Caenorhabditis elegans: one gene and its partners. The protein of the gene in region 1 purifies or fractionates together with the protein of each later gene. This does not show direct contact. Each region holds a gene or a part of one and is shown in the gene's direction. Other genes may lie near its edges. The genes, in order: mog-1, ddx-23 and syf-1.

Region 1 (8,254 bases):
ACATCATTTTTTGTGCTTCCGAGTAAAATTCGGCAACTTGAGCAGATATTTTGACCATTGATGTAGCCTTCATCTTATCCTTGTGGCCTTTAATATAGATCGCCTCTTGTGCCTGAGCAGTCATTAATGCAGAAAGAGCAGCAAGTGTATCTGGCATGAGATCAGGAGTTGGTTCCTGTTGAACCATTCCGAGAACAACATCACGAAGACGGGCGAATACTCCAGCAGATTGTTGGAATAGTTTTGCAGATACTTTAATTTCATCATCGGTATGGAATTGTTGAGCAGCTCCGATTTGAGACATCAACGATCCGATATTGAACAGAACGGCAGCACGTTCAAAGGATCCGTCAGACAGGGATAAGGATGCTCTGCTTGAGAAGAGGCTTCCTTTGTCGAATGCATCCTTCCATTTGAAAACAACTGGATTTTGAGTTGCAGAGATTATAATTTTGTTTTCAATGGCAACGAGTTGATCATAATATCTGTAAAAAACAATTATTTCAAAGATATTCTTTTTTTTTAAATTTATTACCTAGTCAAAACATCGAGAGCACTTTGATGCTTGTCGAGAGGCTGACAGCAAGCTTTTGAACGGAGTTTATTAAGTTCCTGAACAGCTTCGGCGACATCTGAGCGGTTATTATCGGATGTATTGTAGACATTGTCGATATAGCTTGTAAGTGGCTTCACAAGATCCACTTCATTAGTCGATTTCAGCGGTGCGCTGAGAAAGCCGAATGTAGCCATTCTGAAAGAAAATTAATACTAATTTGAAGTGAGAAATAAAAAAAATAAAATAGAAAGATTCTCTTTAAAGAATTTTTCTGAAATTTTGACAAACTGTGTTTCAATTAAAATGTGAAACATTAATCAAGAAAACCAATGAATTTAGCAAAAAAAACACGAAGATGTTACGAGAATTCAAAAATAAAGTTTAGTTTTAGTAAAAGTTTAATTTTTACAGTTATATTCAGTTAGCAGGGTCAATTTTCTATAATTTAACGCAAAATCCCCAGCCAATTCACTCCATCCTTAATTTGAGGTGAGCAATAGGAAAATACGAAGCTTCTCGTTAATGAAGGACAAGAAAAATGTAATAGAAAGTAAGTTCATCACATCGATTCACACTCCTAATCATTCAACAAGAAGGGAAAAACGTCATTTCAGACATTAGAATGCAAATAACGTTCGTGATACGAGTGATGAGTCATCGATGCTGCCGGCATGGTGACCGCCCCTCTCGATTTCGCAATTCGGGTTGCAAATAGAATTGAGGTGAGAAAAAAAGAAAATCAATAGATTTCAAAATTAGTAAACGTATGATTTGATATGAAATAACAATTTGAATTCTAAATATATTGAGTTTATTTTAAGCTAGGGCCTAAGCAATCCACTCTCTCGAAACAACTTTCAACACTTCAGCTCTCCGATCTGTTGCTTCCGGGGTTCTCAAGCGCTTGAGTTAACAAACAAATCTATAGAAATTGAACCGTTTAAGTGGGTATCGGTGGTTGATGATACAGAGGGAAATTTGAAGAACATCAAAAATTCGGATTCAATAGTGAAAACTGGTGGCATTGAAGTAGATTGTGATTTTCTACTGATTTATAGGCTATTTTTTGTTTGAAGAGACCTCCGGGAAACCTTTAATGAGAGAAAAGAAAAGAAAAAGATGCAACAAGAGAGAAAGAGTGTTGAGAAAATTGAAGAAAAAACAAAAAATTCGCGAAAAATGTTTTTATGAAAGAGCGCTCTATCGAGACACAAAAGTCTGAGTCTCTTTTCATAATGCGTTCTCTCTCGCTCTCTCATTTTTTATTTATTTTTTATTTATTTTCGATTTCCTTTTCGAAATTAAATTAGTTTTTCTTAAATTCTTTATTTTTTAGTAAATGTCGGATAAACGGGCAGATGGCCGCCTCGAAGGAACCAGTGACACATTTGGTGGATTGGTTATTAAAAAGAAAAAAGTAGAGGGAGATTCAAAACCAACCGAACCATCCGGGAAGTGAGTAACTAAATATATACTTTAATTTTCTTCAAATAAAAACAATTTAAATTGCAGAAGCTTGCTTGGGCTCGATAGATTGGCGTCTACAAAGCGGGAACACGCCAGAAAACGTCTTGAGGATGATGACGATCGAGGTGTCACGGAATCGGTTCGAAAAGGAATTGAAAAGTGATTCAAACATTAAATTAGCGAAGTAAATTGATGATTTCAGAGTTCATGAGAAGCATCGAGATCGTGACGACCGTGGAATGAAATACAAAAGTCGGGATGATGATCGCAGACGAGACCGTGACAGATCAGAACGAAGAGAGCCGAGTAGTAGAAGAGGTTGGAAAGATCGAAGTGGAGATCAGACTCCTCGCTTTAAAGTTCCCGATACACCATCCAGAATGAGCTGGGATCAAGATGATCGTGAAGGATCTTCCAGAAAACGAAATAGTTGGGATATGCCGACTCCGCGGGGTGAAAGAGACAGAAAACGATATATGGATTCGGAACGAAGCATTTCAAGTGCATGGAGAAGTGAAAGAAGGAATAGAGATGATGAGAAGAGACGGAGACATCGAAAACCAGAAGATTCGGTACGAAGTGTTAAAGAAGAAAAAGCAGAGCCCACATTTCATGATGACGAAGAGAGAGCTCAATGGGAAGAGGAACAGAAGAATTTGGACAGAGAATGGTATGATAATGAAGGAGCATTTGATGATGAGTATAATCCATTCAATAAGGTTTCTGACGAATTTGTGGAAAAACGAGAAAAGCAATGGCAGGAGAAAACTCAGAAGCCGAGACTTACAGTGAAGCAGCAGGCGATCAAAAGAGAGAATGAGTTATGGGAGAACAATCGACTGCATAGATCAGGAGTCGTCGCGATGGCTGATGAATTATCAAGTATTTTTGAAGATGAAACTGATGAGAATCGTGTCACAATTCTCGTTCAAAACATTGTTCCTCCATTCCTTGATGGTCGAATTGTTTTCACTAAACAAGCACAACCAATCATTCCGGTTGTTGATACAACATGTGATATGGCTGTTTCAGCAGCAAGAGGAAGTGTTGCAGTACGAAAACGGAGAGAAGTTGAAGATAGGAAGAAGGCTCAAGATAAGCATTGGGAGTTGGCAGGATCAAAACTCGGAAATTTGATGGGTGTTAAAGAGAAAAAAGATGAAACTGCTGATCCAGAAGACGATGATTCTGGAAATTACAAAGAATCTCATCAATTTGCATCTCACATGAAAGATAATGAAGCAGTTTCGGATTTTGCGATGGAAAAGTCTATCAAGCAGCAAAGAGAGTATTTGCCTGTATTTGCGTGTCGGCAGAAGATGATGAATGTGATTCGTGAGAATAATGTGGTTATCATCGTCGGAGAAACAGGATCAGGAAAAACAACTCAGTTGGCACAATACCTACTTGAAGATGGATTTGGTGATTCGGGACTCATCGGATGTACTCAGCCGAGACGTGTCGCTGCAATGAGTGTTGCTAGACGTGTAGCTGATGAAATGGGAGTGGATGTTAGTTTCATTTTTGAGATAATTATGTATTTCACCACTGTTTTAAGAAAACAATTTTATTTTAATTTTTACAGCTAGGACAAGACGTTGGTTACGCGATTCGATTCGAAGATTGTACATCAGAAAAAACAATAATCAAGTACATGACAGATGGTATTCTGCTTCGTGAATGTCTTGGTGATGGAAGTCTTGATCAATATTCAGCAATTATTATGGACGAAGCTCACGAACGTTCACTCAATACAGATGTACTCTTTGGTTTGCTCAGAGAAGTGATTGCAAAACGAGCTGATCTGAAGCTAATCGTTACTTCTGCTACTATGGATGCTGATAAGTTTGCAGACTTTTTCGGAGGAAACTGTCCCACTTTTACAATTCCTGGAAGAACATTCCCAGTCGAACTGTTTCATGCGAGAACTCCTGTTGAAGATTATGTGGATGCTGCTGTTAAACAAGCTGTTACAATTCATCTGGGTGGTATGGACGGAGATATTTTGATTTTCATGCCAGGACAAGAAGATATTGAGTGCACTTGTGAAATGATCAAAGAGAAGCTTGGTGAACTTGATGAAGCTCCTCCACTTGCTGTTCTACCAATCTATTCCCAGCTTCCAAGTGACTTACAAGCCAAGATTTTCCAAAGAGCACCCGGTGGAATGCGGAAAGCAATTGTGGCTACAAATATTGCAGAGACATCGCTCACTGTCGACGGAATTCTATTTGTAATTGATCCGGGTTTCTGTAAGATGAAGGTGTACAATCCAAGAATCGGTATGGATGCTCTATCGATCTTCCCAGTGTCACAAGCATCAGCGAATCAACGAACTGGTCGTGCCGGACGTACTGGACCAGGACAGTGTTATCGTTTGTATACTGAAAGACAATTTAAAGATGAGCTTTTGGTAAGTTTGAGGTGAATCTCACAAATCTGGAGTGAGCGACGAATGCTAAAAATTTCATGGGAAAAATATCGAAAACGACAAATTTTTAATTTTATTTTTTAAAAATATATATTAAAAAATATATATATATGCTCAGCCCTGTTTCAAATAAAAACAAATTTATTTTTCAGAAGAGTACTGTACCTGAAATTCAAAGAACCAATCTCGCCAATGTAGTGCTTCTTTTAAAGTCTCTCGGAGTGGATGATCTTTTGAAATTTCACTTCATGGATGCACCTCCACAGGACAATATGCTGAATTCAATGTATCAACTTTGGACTCTTGGAGCTCTCGATAACACTGGACAGCTCACGCCAATGGGACGAAAAATGGTTGAATTCCCACTAGATCCAACTCTGTCGAAAATGCTCATTATGTCGGCTGAAATGGGATGCAGTGATGAAGTTCTGACGATTGTTTCGATGTTGTCAGTGCCCGCAATTTTCTTCAGACCAAAAGGACGAGAAGAAGAAGCTGATGCCAAGAAAGAAAAGTTCCAAGTTCCCGAATCGGATCATCTCACTTTCTTAAACGTCTATATTCAATGGAGAACACACAAATATTCTGCAAAATGGTGTGCCGACAACTATTTACACGTAAAAGCTTTGAAAAAGGTTCGAGAAGTTCGTGCTCAATTGAAGGAAATTATGCAAGATCTCAAGCTTCCATTGATGTAGGTTTTTTTTATTTGAAAGTTTCTTAGAACTACAATTTTATAAAATTATTTCAGCTCAAACGGAAGTGAATGGGATATTGTGAGAAAATGCATTTGCTCTGCGTATTTCCACAATGCAGCTCGTCTTAAAGGAATTGGTGAATATGTCAATGTTCGTACCGGAATTCCATGCTTCCTTCATCCAACTTCAGCTCTTTTTGGAATGGGTTTCATGCCTGATTACGTGGTAAGCAGGGCTGAATCTGAAGAAAAAAAAATGCTGAATCGGTATTTCAAATATTTCGGCCAAATTGCACTCTATTTTAAATTTTGAATATGATTTTTGGAAAAAAAGTAACACTTAAAAATTTATGAATGTTTCAGTATATCCTCTTTTTCGAAAAAAAGAAGCGGAAAATAAATTATTCGCCAAAAACACATTCCTTTAAACTTTAAATTAATATTCTAAATTAAGGTGTACCACGAATTGATTATGACAGCCAAAGAATATATGCAATGTGTAACTGCTGTCGATGCAATCTGGCTTGCTGAACTTGGACCCATGTTCTATTCGATCAAAGAATCGAAACAATCACGCAAAGAACTGAAAATGGAGAGTGTCCGAACGGTTGAAACGATGGAAGCAGAGATGCGAGAGGCGCAGAAAGAAATGGAACGGCGGAAGGAAGAAAGTGACAAGGCGTTCAAACGACCAGAATCTTCCAGGCGTGTTGTTGAAGTCGGATCGAAATCGGCCAGATCGGAGAGAAGAAAGCTGTGGGGTCTTTGATCAATTACTCTCTTTCTCTGTCTTATTTTCTCGTGTAATCGGGTGTCACTGTTAATACTCCAGTTCGATTTTCTATATACTCTGTTGCAATTTTATTTTCAGAAGTTTATTCCATAAACCTTATATTTATTTTTACCTTTTTCAATTTTTCCCACTTTCGGTACATTTCCTTTTTTACTGTATGTTTTTCAACAACAAAAAAAACTCAGAACAAAATTTTCAGAATGATTCTCGGTGATATGCCATTGGAAATCATCCGAGAAATCCATAAAGGGTTAAAACCTACGGATCTTGTTAATTCAGCTTTAAGTAATATCGATGTGATGAGAGTTATCGTAGATATGATTCCAAAAATCCGTGCTATAAAGATTGGAATCACAAGTGAGAAATTGAATGGAAAATGTGATGGAGACGAATTTGAGCTTCATATTCCAAAAGTAAATCGAGAAGAAATTCAAGAACTTTTACATTTTCTAATGCCACAAATAGTTAACGGTATTTATTTTCTTATTCGTCTATTTTACTTTTATCTAACTGTTTGGATACAAATTGAAACATTAAAAAAAAATCATTCAATTCTCGAGTATAATTGCCAATTTGATTTTCAGAAATTCATTCCCTTCAATTGGAAAATGAATTAGTCGGCGACGAGATTTCTGATGAACAGCTAGCTCAACTGCTCCAATTGACAAAAAATGCTCCACTAAAGCAACTGGCACTATCTGAAATTGATTTGGAACGAATAAATACATGGACTCTCGCTTTACTTGCTGGTTATGATAAGCTTGAGAAAGTTGAGATTGAAGGATGCAATTTGGGAGGTGACACTGAAGCAAAGTTGCTCAGATGCTTTCAGGCATCTTTCCAGACTCTTACTCAAATTGATTTGAAAGGGACTTCACAGGTGAATATGATACATTTAAAGGAATCTCAATAACAATTGAATTTTCAGATCACAGATCACTTCTCCCAACGCGTTTCCCGTTCATGCCCGAATCTTGCGTACTTCAGGATCTCCGACTGCCCACGAGTTACCACTCTATCGGCTCTTCCATTCATCGAATCGACCGCATTTCGTCTATCCGACAAACTTGATGTGCACATGGACAATACTGAATTCGATGCGAATCAACTTCAAAACTTTATGAGATCTCCACTTTTTGGATCACAATCTGCTGAATGGAGTCTCAAGCCAGTTGTTGTTCCTCTTGGTTACGATAAGCCGGCTGTTCTTGCTCTCCACTCGAGCAGGAAATGTGTATTAATTTTTGTTTGAGATTTTATGTTCTCTTGGTCTTTTGAACAAGAAAAAGAGTTCCATAGCTTAAAAAAGCATTGTAGTATTTGTACATTACCCGTTCAGTTTACTTAAATTCGAAAACTTGTAATTTTAGCTCCGAAAATACGGTGTCCGGTCTCGAATCGACTGGTTTTCTCATGCGCGCCTTTAAGGGGTACTATAGTATCTTTAAAATGTATTAATAACATGTGAGAACTTTTTGAAATATATCAAAGTTTGAATAAAATGCAAATTCTGCTATAAAAAAGAGTTGTGAACTACAGTAACCTCCTTAAAAGCGCACGCTTTTCTGAATTTAATTCGTTTCGAGACCTGGTAAATATTTTGTGGAGCTAAAATCGCACGTTTTCGATTCTGTGTAATACTATGTATTTAAAATTGTAAATTCCTGGTGTACCTTCAATTGTATTATTCTAAAACTATGTGTCTATTCTTAATATGTAAAAACTAGTAATAATGAACACATTTTTTAGATTCATTCCGTCTTTTCAAACCTTTGCCGTCTAATTCTCTTTTCCTATTACACCACACGATGCCAGCTCCGATAATAACGTGGACACAACACAATCGATTTTCTGGTCATTTCTTCTCTCTTCGCTGCCTCTAAAATGTTATGGCAAAAATTCATTCTCACTGCAGGATCTGATTCTCAAAATCGAGTATTTTATGAACAACTATCTAGGATTCCAACTCAAAATTATTCTGAATCTATAGAAGTTGTAACGGATGAATCCCCGGGAATTCGAATTGGTTCAGGTGGAGCTACGTTTAATATTATTCGAAAGTTATTAGAAACTGAGACATATGAAAAATTGGAAAAATCTAAGGTATGCAGTTATATATTTTTTAGGAATTCGCATAAATTTAAGGTTCTACTATTACATTCGGGTGGTCTTTCTCAACGAATGCCTCATCTCTCAGCATATGGAAAAGCTTTTGGAACACTGCCAAATTGCAAAAGTATTTTAGAAACTAAATTAGAAATTTATAAGTATGTAATATCTACTATTATTTAAAATCTTTATCTGTATCTA
Region 2 (8,346 bases), 4.1 Mb from region 1:
AAAGCTGAGTTAGCTAGGCATGCTGCCGCTCTCGAGCTTAATATTAGTGGAGCTCGTGGACTTCAAGACGTCATGAGATCGAACCTCGGACCAAAGGGAACTCTCAAGATGTGAGAATAAACTGATCAAATGTATAATTGAGACTATAATCACATTTTCAGGCTCGTATCTGGAGCTGGGGATATCAAATTGACGAAGGATGGAAATGTCTTGCTTCACGAAATGGTTTGATCGTTTTGTTCAGATTCAGCGTTTAGCACTATTTAATTTCAGGCGATTCAACATCCAACAGCCTCAATGATTGCCAAGGCTTCGACGGCACAAGACGACGTGACTGGAGATGGAACCACATCCACCGTTCTCCTTATCGGAGAGCTCTTGAAACAAGCCGAATCTCTAGTTCTCGAGGTGATCAATTTCCAAAGTTTAACTTTAAACATTTATTTAAAATTTTAGGGTCTTCATCCACGTATTGTTACTGAAGGCTTCGAGTGGGCTAACACAAAAACCCTCGAGTTGCTTGAAAAGTTCAAGAAAGAGGCTCCCGTTGAGCGTGACCTCCTTGTAGAGGTGTGCCGCACTGCTCTTCGTACCAAACTTCATCAGAAACTTGCTGATCACATCACCGAGTAAGAAACAAACAATTAAAAAGTAGTAAAAAACATTATCTTCTTAATTTCAGATGCGTTGTCGACGCCGTTTTGGCAATCCGTCGTGATGGAGAGGAACCAGATCTTCATATGGTTGAAAAGATGGAAATGCACCACGACAGTGATATGGATACCACACTTGTTCGTGGATTAGTTCTCGATCATGGAGCTCGTCACCCAGATATGCCAAGACACGTTAAAGACGCTTACATTCTCACTTGCAACGTTTCTTTGGAATACGAGAAGACTGAAGTCAACTCGGGACTTTTCTACAAGACCGCCAAGGAACGTGAGGCACTTCTCGCTGCCGAACGTGAATTCATTACTCGTCGTGTTCACAAGATTATTGAGTTGAAGAAGAAGGTTATTGATAATTCTCCAGATGGTAAGAATAAGGGATTCGTTGTTATCAACCAGAAAGGAATCGATCCTCCATCTCTTGACTTGCTTGCTTCCGAAGGAATTCTTGCTCTTCGTCGTGCCAAGAGACGTAACATGGAACGTCTTCAGCTGGCCGTCGGAGGAGAAGCCGTCAACTCAGTTGATGATTTGACTCCAGAGGATCTTGGATGGGCTGGACTCGTTTACGAGCATTCCCTTGGAGAAGAGAAATACACGTTTATCGAGGAATGCCGTGCTCCAAAATCTGTGACTCTTCTTATCAAGGGACCAAACAAGCATACCATCACTCAAATCAAGGATGCTATTCATGATGGACTTCGTGCTGTTTTCAACACCATCGTTGACAGTGAGTTTAAATTTTATTAACTTCTGTTCTAGTAACCTATTTTCAGAGGCTGTTCTCCCTGGAGCTGCTGCTTTCGAAATTGCTGCCTACGTGATGTTGAAAAAAGATGTTGAGAACCTGAAGGGACGTGCCAAGCTCGGAGCTGAAGCGTTTGCTCAAGCTCTTCTCGTTATTCCAAAGACACTGGCCGTAAATGGAGGATATGATGCTCAGGAAACACTTGTTAAGCTTATTGAGGAGAAAACCGCCGCTGGACCAGATATCGCCGTTGGACTCGATCTCGAAACCGGAGGAGCTGTCGAGCCACAAGGAATTTGGGACAATGTGACGGTGAAGAAGAACAGTATCTCGTCGGCGACAGTACTTGCATGCAATCTCTTGCTTGTTGATGAAGTGATGCGCGCTGGTATGACCAACTTGAAGCAGCCACAACCAGAATAAATATTAAAATTGTTTTTCTATTCCCCCCAGTGTGTCCGTTTCTATGATCTGTTGCCGTGTTTGATAATATTCCCCATCCCGTTCAACAAGCCCAACTTTACCGTTTGTTTTTATAGCTTTCTTCGAGCGATAATCAACAAAGATCGATCTGTTTTCTTTTTCTTTATTATCCCCCAATTTCTTAAATTTTCATCAAAATTTATTGCTTTTCATTTGAGAATTTGTTGATTTTTTCATGCACGTTCCTTTTTGATTTTGCGCAATAAAGGCTTCTTGCTTTTAATATTATTATGATTGGTTTCCGGTTGTGTATGTGCGCGAAGCTTTATTTCTATAGAAAATTAATATGATATTCGGAGAATTGACATTTTCGAATGTCCCGCTAAGAGAGCGCGGCCTAACAAATACCACCTCGGTCGCGTGTATTATATACGAAAAGGGTGAATGCATTTCTGTAGGTTTATGTTAAAAATTGGTTTTTTTACATTTTCCCATTGTAAAAGCATATTTTTAATTAGTTTTCCAAACATTTAAGTTCTTAAATTCCAGAGAAATGGCTGCTGAACCTCCATCACTTGAGGAACTTCTGGAAAAGAAGAAAAGAGAAGAAGATGAATTGGCAAAGGTATGTATTATTTTTTAATATCTCAAAAAACATCGCATATTTTTTAAAAACCAAACCATTTTCAAATTTTCAGCCAAAATTTCTGTCAAAAGCCGAGCGGGCCGCATTGGCTCTGAAACGAAGAGAAGAGGAGGTCGCAAAACTGCGTGAAACACAAAAACAAGCTGAAGAAGCTCGAAAAAATTGGGGACGCACCGAAAAAACATCAGACGATAGAAGAGATCGTGGACTTGACCGAGGCAATGATCGTGACAGAGACCGTGAACGGGAACGTGATCGTGATCGTCGACGGGATCGTCGGGAGAGAAGTGGTTCTCGAGATAGACGACGAAGGAGCAGGAGCCGTGATCGTGATGGTGGAAGGCGTCGAGATAGAAGTAGAAGTAGAGATAGAAGGGATCGAAATGATGATCGGAAAAGAGATAGAAACGAGGATAGTGATAATGAAGAAGATGTTAGTAAAATGGCAGATGCTGTTAAAGACAGATATCTTGGAAAACAGAAGGAAAAGAAGAAAAGAGGACGGAGACTTCATGAGAAAAAGTTTGTTTTTGATTGGGATGCTGGAGAGGATACATCACAGGATTATAACAAATTATATCAAAGTCGACATGAAATTCAGTTCTTTGGAAGAGGATCTGTTGCTGGAACGGATGTGAATGCTCAGAAAAAAGAGAAGAACTCGTTCTACCAGGAAATGATGGAAAATCGAAGAACTGTTGATGAGAAAGAGCAAGAGATGCATCGCCTTGAAAAAGAACTGAAAAAAGAAAAGAAAGTGGCTCATGATGATCGTCATTGGAGAATGAAAGAACTTTCTGAGATGTCTGACAGAGATTGGCGTATCTTCCGTGAAGATTTCAATATTTCTATTAAAGGAGGCAGAGTTCCACGACCTCTTCGTAATTGGGAAGAAGCTGGATTTCCAGATGAAGTCTACCAAGCTGTCAAAGAAATTGGTTATCTGGAACCTACACCTATTCAGAGACAAGCCATCCCAATTGGTCTTCAGAATCGTGACGTAATCGGTGTAGCTGAAACTGGATCAGGAAAAACTGCAGCTTTCCTTCTACCGCTGCTTGTATGGATCACAAGCCTTCCAAAAATGGAACGACAAGAACATCGGGACTTGGGTCCATATGCTATTATTATGGCTCCAACAAGAGAATTGGCTCAGCAGATTGAAGAGGAAACCAACAAGTTCGGAAAGCTTCTCGGTATCAAGACCGTTTCAGTAATCGGAGGAGCCAGCAGAGAAGATCAAGGAATGAAGCTTCGAATGGGTGTTGAAGTGGTCATTGCAACACCAGGTCGTCTTCTCGATGTTCTGGAAAATCGATATCTTCTCCTGAATCAGTGTACCTATGTGATCCTTGACGAAGCTGATCGAATGCTTGACATGGGATTTGAACCAGATGTTCAGAAGGTTCTGGAGTACATGCCAGATACAAATATGAAGAAAGATACGGATGAATTCGATAATGAAGAAGCTTTGATGAAGGGATTCTCAACAAGAGAGAAATATCGACAAACTGTCATGTTCACAGCTACAATGTCTTCAGCTATCGAAAGACTTGCCAGACAATATCTCAGAAGACCAGCAGTTGTACATATTGGATCTGCTGGAAAGCCTACAGAAAGAGTTGAACAGGTAATTTATTTTATTCTTGGTAGAAAAGAAAAATAATTATGAGAATCGTTTTTCATATTTCGACATTAAGCTGAACTAGAAAAATTACTAGAACTAAGGCAGCTTCCTAAAGTAGCTTCATAAAAGTTGTTAACTAAAATTTGCTAAAAACTAATTAAGAACACCCAAAAAATTGTTTTTTAACTGAAAAAAGTGAAAAATTGTTTGGTTTTTTGTTGGTTTTCTAAAAAATAAAATCAAAAAATTAATTTTTCGTCAAATTACCAAAAAATGCCAAAAAAAAGTCCCATCTCTGGATTGAAACCACGCAGAAAGGGGGAATTCTGTTTTCAGTGTCTTTTTTCAGAGGCTAGTATTTTTTAGTAAGAAATTTCAAAAAAATTTCAAGTTTTTTAAAAATTCCAAAATATTTCGTATTCAGGTAGTCTACATGGTTCCAGAGGATCGTAAACGTAAGAAGCTCGTCGAAGTGCTCGAATCACAATTCCAACCACCGATTATTATTTTTGTCAATCAGAAGAAAGGTGCTGATATGCTCTCAAAAGGTCTTACCAAACTTGGTTTCAAGCCAACAGTTCTTCACGGAGGAAAAGGTCAAGATCAAAGAGAATACGCTCTGCAGGCTCTTAAAGAAGGAACGAGTGATATTCTTGTGGCTACTGATGTTGCTGGAAGAGGTTCGTTTTTTTTTTTGGAAAAAAATTGTTGATTCAAATACTTTTTTCAAGTATATATATACCGTATATTCTCTATTAGAGCGGCGTATCTAATAGTACGGCGTATCTATTAGAGCGGCACCCTAACTGGCTCTTCGAAAATTAGAGCGGCAGTCTCTATTAGTGTGGCACCCCTTTTTTTGGGTGCGAGAGCCACCTCAATTATTCGATTTCTTCGAAGATATTTTTGTTCATTCTTGAATGAATTCATAAATTTTCATTTAAATATTGAATTTTAGTGTCTTTGTGAGGCAAAATTACACAATTTTCACGAATTTTTCCATAAAATATGAGGTTTTATAAGGAAATTTTGAGGTTACTACTCCCAACAGTAGTAACTTCAATATGAAAATTAGTTATCGAAAATTAGTGCGGCAGTATCCAGTAGAACGGCAGTCTCTAATAGAGCGCACGTCGCGAAGGGCCCGGAAATTAGTGCGGCATGCCGCTCTAATAGAGAATATACGGTATATAACGTTTCTTGAAAGTTTCAAACTCTTCTGAATGAAAACCCAAAAATTTGAGATTCCCCTATTTAAAAAAAAAACTAATTGAAGAGGTTTGATTCGAAATGTAACTAAAAAATTATAAATTCAAAGTTTTGAAAATCAAAATAATATCCACTTAATTTTCAGGTATCGACGTCAAAGATGTATCACTGGTACTCAACTACGATATGGCAAAATCAATTGAAGACTATACTCACAGAATTGGTAGAACTGGTATGTTTTTATTCACTTTTTCTGTGGAAATTTTTTGATGAAGTGTAATTTTCTGTTTTGGGAAAATATGAGATTCTTGAGGACATCATTTTTTTAAAATTTATCTCCACATAGTATGATTTATTACAACGGAAAAAAGATAAAGAACAGCGGAGCAGTAAGAAATTATTTAAAGAAAATTTTAAAAAATGAAAAAAAATGCGTAGAAGTTTTCATAAATTTTGAAGCTACTAGCATCTGAAAACTTCCACACTTTTCTTCTTGATCACATATAATAATTTCTTTTAAATTTCAGGTCGAGCTGGTAAACATGGAAAAGCAATCACATTCCTCACACCTGACGATACTGCCGTCTATTTCGACTTGAAGCAGGTAAAAATTGTGACGGAAACCGGACACCAAAAATGATATTGGACCTAAAAATCAAAAAATTTTTGTTTTGATTTTAGGTCGAAAAATAAAAATTGAAATTTGCGAAAAATTAAAGAAGAAACTAAACAAGAAAAACGAAAAATTGAGGACTTTAGTTTAATTTTTATTTTTAAAGAACAATGAAAAAATGAAAATTTTTTAAAGATAAAAAATCCAACAAAAAAAATTTAATTTTTTGTCCAAATATCAACAAAAAAGAAAAGATTTGCATTCGGTTTTCTGAAAGATAATCGATGAAATAAGTAGTTAAAAATGAAAACATCAGTTAATCGTTTCATAAAATATTTAAAAAAAATATTTTAAGCGTTCTTGAACAATTTAGAAAAAAAAAATCCACTTTTGGGTTACTGTAGTTACTGCAAGCGAATTAAAATTACAATGAAAAAAAGAAACAACTCCGAAAAAAATTTATTCGAATAAGGTTAATTCGATGAGATGCCCTTTAATTAAGTCGTTAATGAATGTTTTGAATTTAATTTTCAAAATTTCCGTCTAATTCCAAGATAATCGTTTTTGAAAGTTTTTTTTTTCAAAAGTTTCAAAAGAAAATGTATCACTCAATAAATACTTTTAATAAAAATATTTTAACTCGTATTTTTTCCAGGTTCTGGTCGAATCGCCAGTGTCATCATGCCCACCTGAACTTGCGAATCATCCGGATGCACAGAGTAAGCCTGGAGTGTTTACATCAAAGAAACGACAAGATGAAACATTGTTCTTGAAGTGATAATTCTCTTTTTTGTTTGGAAAATCTCAACATTTATATTTATTTATTCAATTTTTATATGATTGTTCTACCAGATCTGTTAAATAAATACTCCTGACCCCATCATTCCGTTCAAATTTCATTATTAATTCCAGAATAGGAAAATGATCATGAAAAGTTGCTCTCTGTCGGATTTCCAAGAGCACATTATTCGGAGAATGTGTGTTTTAAAGCTAGTCTCGTGGAAAAATTCAAATTAAATGAATTCTCATGTTAGGAAGCAAAATAATTAATTTTTCGATTTTAAGAAACGAAATTGAAAGTTTAAAAATCTGAAATATTTCACTCCACACTGATCATAATTTTTTTAAAATAAAATAAAATAGTATTTTGAAATACGTTTTACTAGTTATTGTGAAAAAAGGAAAACTGAAAATAAATAAATAAATCTTTAAAGGTTGGGTACATGTTAGATAATTATAAAAATAAGAAGTTCGTCGACGTGTTCGAATCGTTTTTCCAAAAAACCTTCGCCAAGGAATAAAACCTAACAAAATCATAATGTTGTCAAAAAAAATGGGCCGACATGCTCTCAAAAGGTCTCGTAAACCTGAAGATCAAATCCACGGTTTTTCACGGAGGAAAGACTCACTGGGGAACCGTCAGAAGGTGCCCATCAAACTAGCATATGAGATTCGATAGCCCATGTCTTAAAACGGTTACTCGAGAATTTTTAGCGGTGAAGCTCCAGAACCAAACTCACGGCGGGCTCTCAAAGATCCTGAAAATAGCACTTTAACGAAGCATTGAAGGGCCTACTTTCCAATTTCACTTTGGTAGCTCATATCTCCGCGGATAAATTTTTTACAGAAAAGTCATCAACTAAAAAGTTGTTGATATTGTTGTAAAGAACAAGTTTGTAGTTGAAAGTTTTTTATCAAAAACATTTTTGCTTGAGATAAAAGCGCGTGAAGTGCGGCAACTGTTGCTGTTATTTTTAAGCTGTTGCTATTCTAATGCTTTTATCTCAAACAAAATGTTTTTTGGTAAAAAACTTTCAGCTACAAACTTTTACTTTCCAACAATATCAACAACTTTTTAGTTGATGACTTTTCTGTAAAAAATTTATCCGCGGAGATATTTTAGGATATTTGAAAGCCCGCCGCGAGCTTAGCTCTGGAGTTTTACTGCTAAACATTCACGGGTAACCGTTTTAAGACCTGGGCGTTCGAATGACAAAGATCTCATATGCAAGTCCGATGGACACCTTCTGACGGTTCCCTAGTCAGGAACAGGGAGAATCCGCCTTTAAAGATCTAGGCTTTAAAAGGTTAGATGGATACCGTACTCTTTTTGTTACTGATGTTGCTTAAAGAGGTTCGTGGTTTGTGCTGTTAAAAATTCTTTGAATTATGAAAAATGTCGGGAATTTTTGTTAGAAGTTCAGTTAAAAATTCATTAAAAATTATGAATGTTTTAAAAATAAAAATAATATTCACTTGATTTCCAGGGATCGACGTCAAAGATGTATCACTGGTACTCAACTACGATATGGCAAAACCAATCGAAGACTATACTCACAGAATTTATATAACTGGTATGTCTTTATTTACTTTTTCTGTGGAAATTTTTAGATTTAATTATTTTTTCTGTAG
Region 3 (7,827 bases), on another chromosome or scaffold:
GTGTTTTGCTGTAAGTGAAGTTTCATCCTTGAAATCAAAACAAATGTTCATTTTTTCAGTGTGTTCCTCCACTCGTTGTCGCTTCGGGAATTGACGAGCGTACGTTGAAACGCGATGGAGTGTGTGCTGCGTCACTTCCAACAACAATGGCTGTAGTTGCTGGATTTTTGGTGATGAACACGCTGAAATACCTTCTGAACTTTGGAGAAGTCTCCCAGTACGTTGGATACAACGCATTATCAGACTTTTTCCCTCGTGACAGCATCAAGCCGAACCCATACTGCGACGACTCTCACTGTCTGCAAAGACAAAAAGAATACGAAGAGAAGGTTGCCAATCAACCTGTGGATCTTGAAGTGGAAGTTCCAGAAGAAGAAACCGTCGTTCATGAGGACAATGAATGGGGAATCGAGCTGGTAAATGAGTCGGAGCCATCTGCAGAACAATCTTCAAGCTTGAATGCTGGAACCGGGCTCAAGTTTGCTTATGAACCAATCAAGAGAGATGCCCAGACTGAATTGTCGCCGGCTCAAGCTGCAACCCATGATTTTATGAAATCGATCAAGGATAAACTCGTCGAGGAAGCCCAGAACAAAGGAAAATAATTGCCAAAAATCAAAATATAGATTTTTCCCATATTCTTGTCAATATTAAAATTGCTTTTATAAGCTAGTCTCTCGCCTTCCATCACACTCGCTAAATAATTTATTGTCAATCCCCTTCTTTTTTTTAGGAGCCAATTTTGGGTTTTTAGCTTCTATTTTTCCTGTATTCTGTCCCCCCTTCGCTCACTATCCCCTTGTATTGCATATTACACATCATCTGTGATTGAACTCCCTGTTTTCTATTTTATTCATAAAATCTTTATTATTTACTTTCTTCTGACTTTCTCATGCTCCTAATTTACAAGAGAAGAAAGAAGAAGAAACATCAGTTTATTTACACCGAATTAATTGATAATTTACAGGAACTGTCTATTTAATAATCGAATCAAACACCCGCAAAATGAGCTGAATAATTTAAATATGCTTCTCTGATTATATTAAAGATCGTAGCGAGAAGGACCACCTTCCAATTTTATTTCCTGCGATTCGATTCGCATGCACAGATATTCTCCAAGAACCGTGCAAACTGTTGTCGATATTACTTGAAGAATCCACCTTAAAAAGGAATTTGAATTTCAAAAGTTTTATAATTAAATCCTAACCATGTAAATTGGGTTGGAAGAGCATGGTTGTAAATAGTGGTAAATATTAAATGGAAAAAGTGCACTGTACAGGCAAAATCCAGGCATTGTTTCGCACGTTGCACTAAATGCGACAGTGCGAATGAGACTCCGACGGCGGAAACTAATTGAATTAATGCCATTGATCGTTGTGTCTGAAATAATAATTTTAAAATTAAATAGACTGGGAAAATCCAAACCTGTATTGAGAAAATAGAGGAAATGAGAGGTTCGTAGCCGAAAAAGCTGCAGAACAGCATTACTGAAGTTTGAGTAGCGTAGAAAAATGTCTGAAGACACGTCATTTGACTGACGAGGAGCACTGGATCCCAGACAAACTGCCGAAACGACGACATTCTGAAAATTCGGATACTTGCACAGGGAAACCGAGAATTTATCAATGTTTTGTAGAAAAACACATTCGAAGTACATGATTACAAAATTTCAATAATTAAGATTAATAATTAAAATTGAACAAAAACAATTCACATGTGAAATCACAACGTTTTTTTTCGATAAAATCTTTTTTCCTGAAAAGCCAACGCGTATTTCCACACCAGACTACGGTCCACAATTGCGTACTCTTTCGGTCTGCATACACCAGAACCGACGATCAAAAATCTCCCGCATTTTTCGAAAATTAAATTTTATTCATATTCTTTTTAATATTTAAAGCTCGGATTACTTTTAATTTGTTATATTTTTATCTTTCCAGATAATGGCCGACAAAGAAAATGCAACAAAAATTGAAAAAATGCCGAACTCTGAGACGATGAAAGGGATCGTAAGTGAAGAAACAATCAGAACAGGAAACAATAATGCAATTTTCAGTCTTCCGAAGATGTTCCGTTTGAAGAGGATATCATTAGAAATCCCACGTCAGTAAATTGTTGGCAGAGATATATCGATCACAAATTGCAGAACAAATCTCCTGCCAAGCAGATGTTTTTGGTAATTTTCATTTAATTTTCTTCAAAAAACATTTTTTAATTTCAGATCTACGAACGTGCACTTGCAGTTTTCGAAAGAAGCTACAAACTTTGGTATCATTATCTGAAATACAGAGAAAGCACAATTGTCAACAAATGCCCAACAGACAACTCCTGGAGAGCACTCTGTGACACTTATGAGAGATGTCTCATGAGATTACACAAGATGCCACGTATTTGGATTTGTTACTGCGAAGTGATGATCAAAAGAGGCCTCATCACAGAGACCAGACGAGTTTTCGATCGAGCTCTCCGTTCTCTTCCAGTCACCCAGCACATGCGTATCTGGACATTGTATATCGGCTTTCTGACAAGTCACGATCTGCCAGAAACTACAATTCGTGTCTACAGAAGATATTTGAAGATGAATCCGAAAGCTCGTGAGGATTACGTTGAGTATCTTATTGAAAGAGATCAAATCGACGAGGCAGCAAAAGAATTGACAACTCTAGTAAATCAAGATCAGAATGTTTCGGAAAAAGGAAGAACTGCACATCAACTGTGGACTCAGCTGTGTGATTTGATCTCAAAGAATCCAGTAAAGATCTTCTCGCTGAACGTCGACGCAATTATTCGTCAAGGAATCTATCGGTACACGGATCAAGTTGGATTTTTGTGGTGCTCACTAGCCGACTATTACATTCGTAGCGCAGAGTTCGAAAGAGTAAATTTGAAAAAGTGTTTTTTTTCTGAGCACAAATTTGATTTCAGGCTCGAGACGTGTATGAGGAGGCTATTGCTAAAGTGTCAACTGTACGAGATTTCGCTCAAGTTTATGATGCTTATGCAGCTTTTGAAGAACGAGAAGTGTCGATTATGATGCAAGAAGTGGAACAAAGTGGTGATCCGGAAGAAGAAGTTGATCTTGAGTGGATGTTCCAGAGGTTTGTATGTCAAAAATTCAAAAAAATGACCTAAGTTCAGCTATAATCACCAATTTCGCCAACTTTTCCGTGTCGCAGCGGTCGTAACATGACATTTACTTGATTAATGTCAGATTATTCGTATTTTTTATTTTATTTGTGCAGTTTATCTAACGCTAAGGTATATTAAAATTTAAAAAAAATCAATGACCGGGCACGGAAAAGTTGGAAAAAATTGGAGATTTTAGCTAAAATTGGCCTTTTTTTCGAAATTTAGCACCGATAAGAAGCCCTTTTTGAAAAAAATGTGTTGAGCAATTTTTGCAAAATCTCTTTGTAAAGCCTTTACCTTTACCTTTACCTTCAAATCGTTTAACTATAAATTTGTAAAACCCTCTTGAAATTCCAGATATCAACATTTGATGGAAAGAAAGAATGAACTAATGAACAGTGTACTTCTCCGGCAGAATCCACATAATGTTGGAGAATGGCTCAACCGAGTGAATATCTACGAAGGAAATTACAACAAGCAAATTGAGACATTCAAGGAAGCCGTAAAATCTGTAAATCCCAAAATTCAAGTCGGAAAAGTTCGTGATCTCTGGATCGGTCTTGCCAAGTTGTATGAGGATAATGGTGACTTGGATGCTGCTCGTAAGACGTTCGAGACCGCTGTGATCTCACAATTCGGAGGTGTCAGTGAACTTGCAAATGTGTGGTGTGCGTATGCCGAAATGGAAATGAAGCATAAAAGAGCAAAAGCTGCACTGACAGTTATGCAACGAGCATGTGTTGTTCCGAAGCCAGGAGATTACGAGAATATGCAATCAGTTCAAGCAAGAGTTCACAGAAGTCCGATTCTATGGGCAATGTACGCGGATTATGAGGAATGTTGTGGAACTGTTGAGTCTTGTCGGAAAGTTTATGATAAGATGATCGAGCTTCGTGTAGCTTCTCCACAGATGATTATGAATTACGCAATGTTTTTGGAGGAGAATGAGTATTTCGAGCTGGCATTCCAAGCCTACGAGAAGGGAATTGCTCTGTTCAAGTGGCCCGGAGTTTTTGATATTTGGAATACATATTTGGTCAAATTCATTAAAAGATACGGTGGAAAGAAGCTGGAAAGAGCACGTGATTTGTTTGAGCAATGTCTGGAAAACTGCCCACCAACCCATGCGAAATGTAAGAACTTTTGAAAAAGTTGAAATAAATCAAACAATACCAAATTTATTTTAGATATTTTCTTACTCTATGCCAAACTGGAAGAAGAGCACGGACTCGCCAGGCATGCTCTTTCCATATACAACAGAGCCTGCTCAGGAGTTGACCGTGCCGATATGCACTCGGTAAGCACAATTTTTTTTTTGTAAAATATTGAAAAATGTTGAAAGCTCAATTTTAAATTAAAAAATCCTGAATTTTCAGCGCTTTAGAGCTCAAAAATACCTGGAAATAGGAAAATCATAGCTTTCTGCAAAGAAAAAGGCACAAAATTCGAAATTTTCAGTCGAAATTGCGCATAGTGTAGCTTTTTATTCGAAAAAAACTATACGAAAATCCAATATTCCTGCTAAAGACGCAAAAATTTTTGGAATATAAATGTTTTATTTTTAATATATCTATAGCTTCCTGAGACCAAATGTTGTAAATTCTTGCTGAAAATTGACAAAAATTGGATTTAATTGAACAAAACGACGCAAAAATTATAGTTAAAAACACTTCAAAACAACAAAATTTCGCGAAATTCAATTTTTCAAACGAAAAATCACGATAAAACCCGATAAAACCCGCAAATTCTTCAAAATTGTCATTTTAGATGTACAATATCTACATCAAAAAGGTCCAGGAAATGTATGGAATCGCGCAGTGCCGGCCCATCTTTGAACGAGCGATTTCCGAATTGCCAGAGGATAAGTCTCGAGCAATGAGCTTGCGGTATGCTCAGCTCGAGACGACGGTCGGAGAGATTGACCGAGCCCGAGCGATCTACGCGCACGCCGCCGAGATTTCCGATCCAAAAGTTCATGTAAAGTTCTGGGATACGTGGAAAAACTTTGAAGTTGCTCATGGAAACGAGGCAACTGTTCGTGACATGCTTCGTGTTCGTAGATCAGTCGAAGCGTCATACAACGTGAATGTCACACTGACATCTGTACAAATGCGTGTGGATGCTGAACGAAAGGCACAGGAGACTACGACTTCGTCGAATCCGATGGATTCATTGGATCAGCAACAGCAGCAACCTTCGGATGGAGCAGGATCAATTACTCAGGTCTCAATGAACAAAGGAAATATTTCATTTGTACGTGGAGCCGGTAAAACGGTACAACAGAATACTACAGAGAATCCTGATGAAATTGATTTGGATGAAGACGACGATGATGAGGAAGATGATGGTGGAGATGCTGATATTTCAGTCAAAGTTGTTCCAGCTCAGATTTTTGGAAATTTGAAGCTCGCCGAAGAGGAGGAAGAAGCTTGATTTTCATTATTTTTTATTTTATTTGTTGTTCAGGATCTTGAAAAATAAATTATTTATTTTATGTTACAAATTTTCCAATTTTCCAATTTTTTTGTGATGTTTTCCTTGGTTGTTGTGTTGTCTAACACTGTGTGTAATACTTTTTTTAAAAATTGTGTTTTTAATTTTTTTAGGAAATATAAAAATTGTCTGAAATCATGATTAATCACTAAGAATTTTTCAAAAAAACGTTAGTATTTTCTCATTCTTCGAAGGTATTACGATACCATCAGTTCATGAGAATGCCTACCAAGGGTGGGCAAACTTTTACAAAGTCAAGAAATCAATCAGTCAAGAATTCTTGATTTTAAAAGTCAAGAAATCAAGAAATTTTCTACGGATATTATTTTTAAGCGAAATTGAAAGAAATAGTTAAATTTATCAGTCTTAACCTATTTTTTAAAGAATATGAACAAAAGAAACTTTGAAAATGGACAAAAAGTGCAAAAATAATAATTTTTCGACAAGAACGTTAACGTTTTCAATCTTTTTGAATTCCTTTCTGCAAACCTCGCTCTTCCAACTGAAATTGTGTTTTATGGTGTTTTTTGAGTTATTATATTCTGAAAATGGCAAAAATAATAAAATAATTTCTCGGAAAATTGAAAAACCCACTTTTCAGCCTAAATTTCGAGTTAAAAATTTCTTGATTTCTTGACACAATTTATCAAGAAATCAAGAAACAAGAATTCTTGACAAACTGTCAAGAAATCAAGAAATTCAAGAAATCAATCAATCAAGAATGCCCACCCCTAATGCCTACTTTCTGGCGCGAAAATATGCCGCAACAGGTGAGAGAAAATGTGGCGAAAAGATATTTTAATTTCGCGCGTCAAAACGGTAGACATTGTCATGATCTGATGGTTTTTTAATAAATAGTTATTTACAATAATGTTTTTTTTCAATAACGTTTTTCAAGTGCTTTCTCACTTTAACCTATTTGTTTCTAACTTTTCGACAAAAATTCGATTTTCTCTGTAAAAAAACGGCAAAAAAAAATTAAAATGTTGTGACAGTTTCAAATTTTAAATGACAATTTTTATAAAAAATCACTGCTTCAATCAGCTTTTCGCAAAGGATTATTTTTTTCAGATAAATTGTAAATAAAAATGGAAGACGTTAATGATCTCTACACGATGGCTCTAGGCGAATTTTATGCTCCAGCACCATCAACGTCTTCCATTAAAAAGCCTGCAAAAGTTCCCGAAGATCAGCCATCCACCTCGTCCGCACCTCCTACAACAGCTCTTTTCCGACAGCTTCTAATAGGGTCTAGAAGTCAAATAGAACGATTGAAAAAAGAAAATGAAGAGTTGAAAACAAAGTGAGACAGTTTTTTTTTTTTCACTTTTCAAAAAATCTAAAATTCGAAAAAAATTCAGACTGAAGCACGCCACCTCATCCGGCGGCGTCGTGATATGTCCCAATTGTACACATCATTTCAAGGATCGTCAGTGTCCAATGAGACCTCGAGCTATGAAGGTTTTTAATCCAAGCTATTCTCAAAAAAAATCAAATTCAATTAAATTTCAGAAAATGCGAGCTCGAAACTGCGTCGAATTGGAATTCGGCAATTTGGAAGATCTTGAAATGTGGCTCTACCTGAATCAGCTGGAGACAAATAATGACGGAATGCCAACTGTAATGAATGTGAAAAAAGCTACGAATTGTCCAGAGAAATCTCTGAAGGAGTCCGGGAGCCTGCTGCCAGAGCTTGTTGAGAAGAAGAGAGAAGAGAAACGGCAACAGGAAGATCAGAAAGCTGTGGTGCTGGAGAAGAGAAAACCTGTGACTCAAAAAGTACAAGATCACCTGAAACGTCGTTCCAAGTCTCCAATTGGACGGGGAAAAGATCAATCTGATAAGGATATTATTTCGAATAAGAAGCGGAAGCTGAATCGACAATCAAAAGAAGAGATTGATGAACGGTCTAAGATCGCAAAGAAAGCGCCAATTTCGCAACGCGTTCAGTTTCCGAGGATGCCGGCACCCCAGGCGCCGGACGCCGTAGCTTCCAAGGTTCGGGAACAGAAGCCTGTTGATATCACTCCGCACCCAAGACCATCGGCTTCTAGAAATTCGGAATCTCAGAAACCGGTTGCATCCAAGATCCAGGAGAAGAAGACTGAAGTTCGCACAAAGTCTTCTCCAACGAACCCAATAGTTAATTCCAAGCAACCAAGTCAGAAAAAGCCTGCCGATCTCACTCCGCACCCAAAACGACCA

Evidence for each region.
Region 2: the proteins of mog-1 (region 1) and ddx-23 fractionate together in Caenorhabditis elegans (co-fractionation; one large-scale study listed by BioGRID). This does not show direct contact.
Region 3: the proteins of mog-1 (region 1) and syf-1 fractionate together in Caenorhabditis elegans (co-fractionation; one large-scale study listed by BioGRID). This does not show direct contact.

What each region holds. Positions count from the first base shown.
Region 1 is NC_003281.10:9,949,854-9,958,107, reverse strand, and holds mog-1 (putative pre-mRNA-splicing factor ATP-dependent RNA helicase mog-1), read left to right. Parts: upstream 1-1,892; 5' UTR 1,893-1,895; coding exon 1,896-2,011; intron 2,012-2,068; coding exon 2,069-2,182; intron 2,183-2,225; coding exon 2,226-3,534; intron 3,535-3,608; coding exon 3,609-4,436; intron 4,437-4,606; coding exon 4,607-5,148; intron 5,149-5,205; coding exon 5,206-5,377; intron 5,378-5,605; coding exon 5,606-5,920; 3' UTR 5,921-6,048; downstream 6,049-8,254. Other genes in the region: alx-1 (Apoptosis-linked gene 2-interacting protein X 1), read right to left, coding at 1-485, 536-750; K03H1.11 (F-box domain-containing protein), read left to right, coding at 6,145-6,415, 6,529-6,824, 6,873-7,196; K03H1.13 (GDP-fucose pyrophosphorylase domain-containing protein), read left to right, coding at 7,829-8,047, 8,090-8,211. UniProt on the Caenorhabditis elegans protein: Probable ATP-binding RNA helicase involved in pre-mRNA splicing.
Region 2 is NC_003281.10:5,847,310-5,855,655, reverse strand, and holds ddx-23 (putative ATP-dependent RNA helicase DDX23), read left to right. Parts: upstream 1-2,386; 5' UTR 2,387-2,392; coding exon 2,393-2,464; intron 2,465-2,537; coding exon 2,538-4,115; intron 4,116-4,536; coding exon 4,537-4,792; intron 4,793-5,466; coding exon 5,467-5,553; intron 5,554-5,848; coding exon 5,849-5,925; intron 5,926-6,589; coding exon 6,590-6,712; 3' UTR 6,713-6,818; downstream 6,819-8,346. Other genes in the region: cct-6 (T-complex protein 1 subunit zeta), read left to right, coding at 1-110, 162-225, 274-408, 457-629, 683-1,398, 1,445-1,839.
Region 3 is NC_003279.8:3,875,123-3,882,949, forward strand, and holds syf-1 (Pre-mRNA-splicing factor SYF1), read left to right. Parts: upstream 1-1,940; 5' UTR 1,941-1,943; coding exon 1,944-2,009; intron 2,010-2,056; coding exon 2,057-2,176; intron 2,177-2,221; coding exon 2,222-2,878; intron 2,879-2,925; coding exon 2,926-3,098; intron 3,099-3,486; coding exon 3,487-4,262; intron 4,263-4,316; coding exon 4,317-4,426; intron 4,427-4,896; coding exon 4,897-5,562; 3' UTR 5,563-5,621; downstream 5,622-7,827. Other genes in the region: uba-5 (Ubiquitin-like modifier-activating enzyme 5), read left to right, coding at 1-10, 60-605; T03F1.12 (Protein SYS1 homolog), read right to left, coding at 1,043-1,160, 1,208-1,380, 1,426-1,581; C50F2.2 (CCHC-type domain-containing protein), read left to right, coding at 6,711-6,925, 6,984-7,083, 7,135-7,827.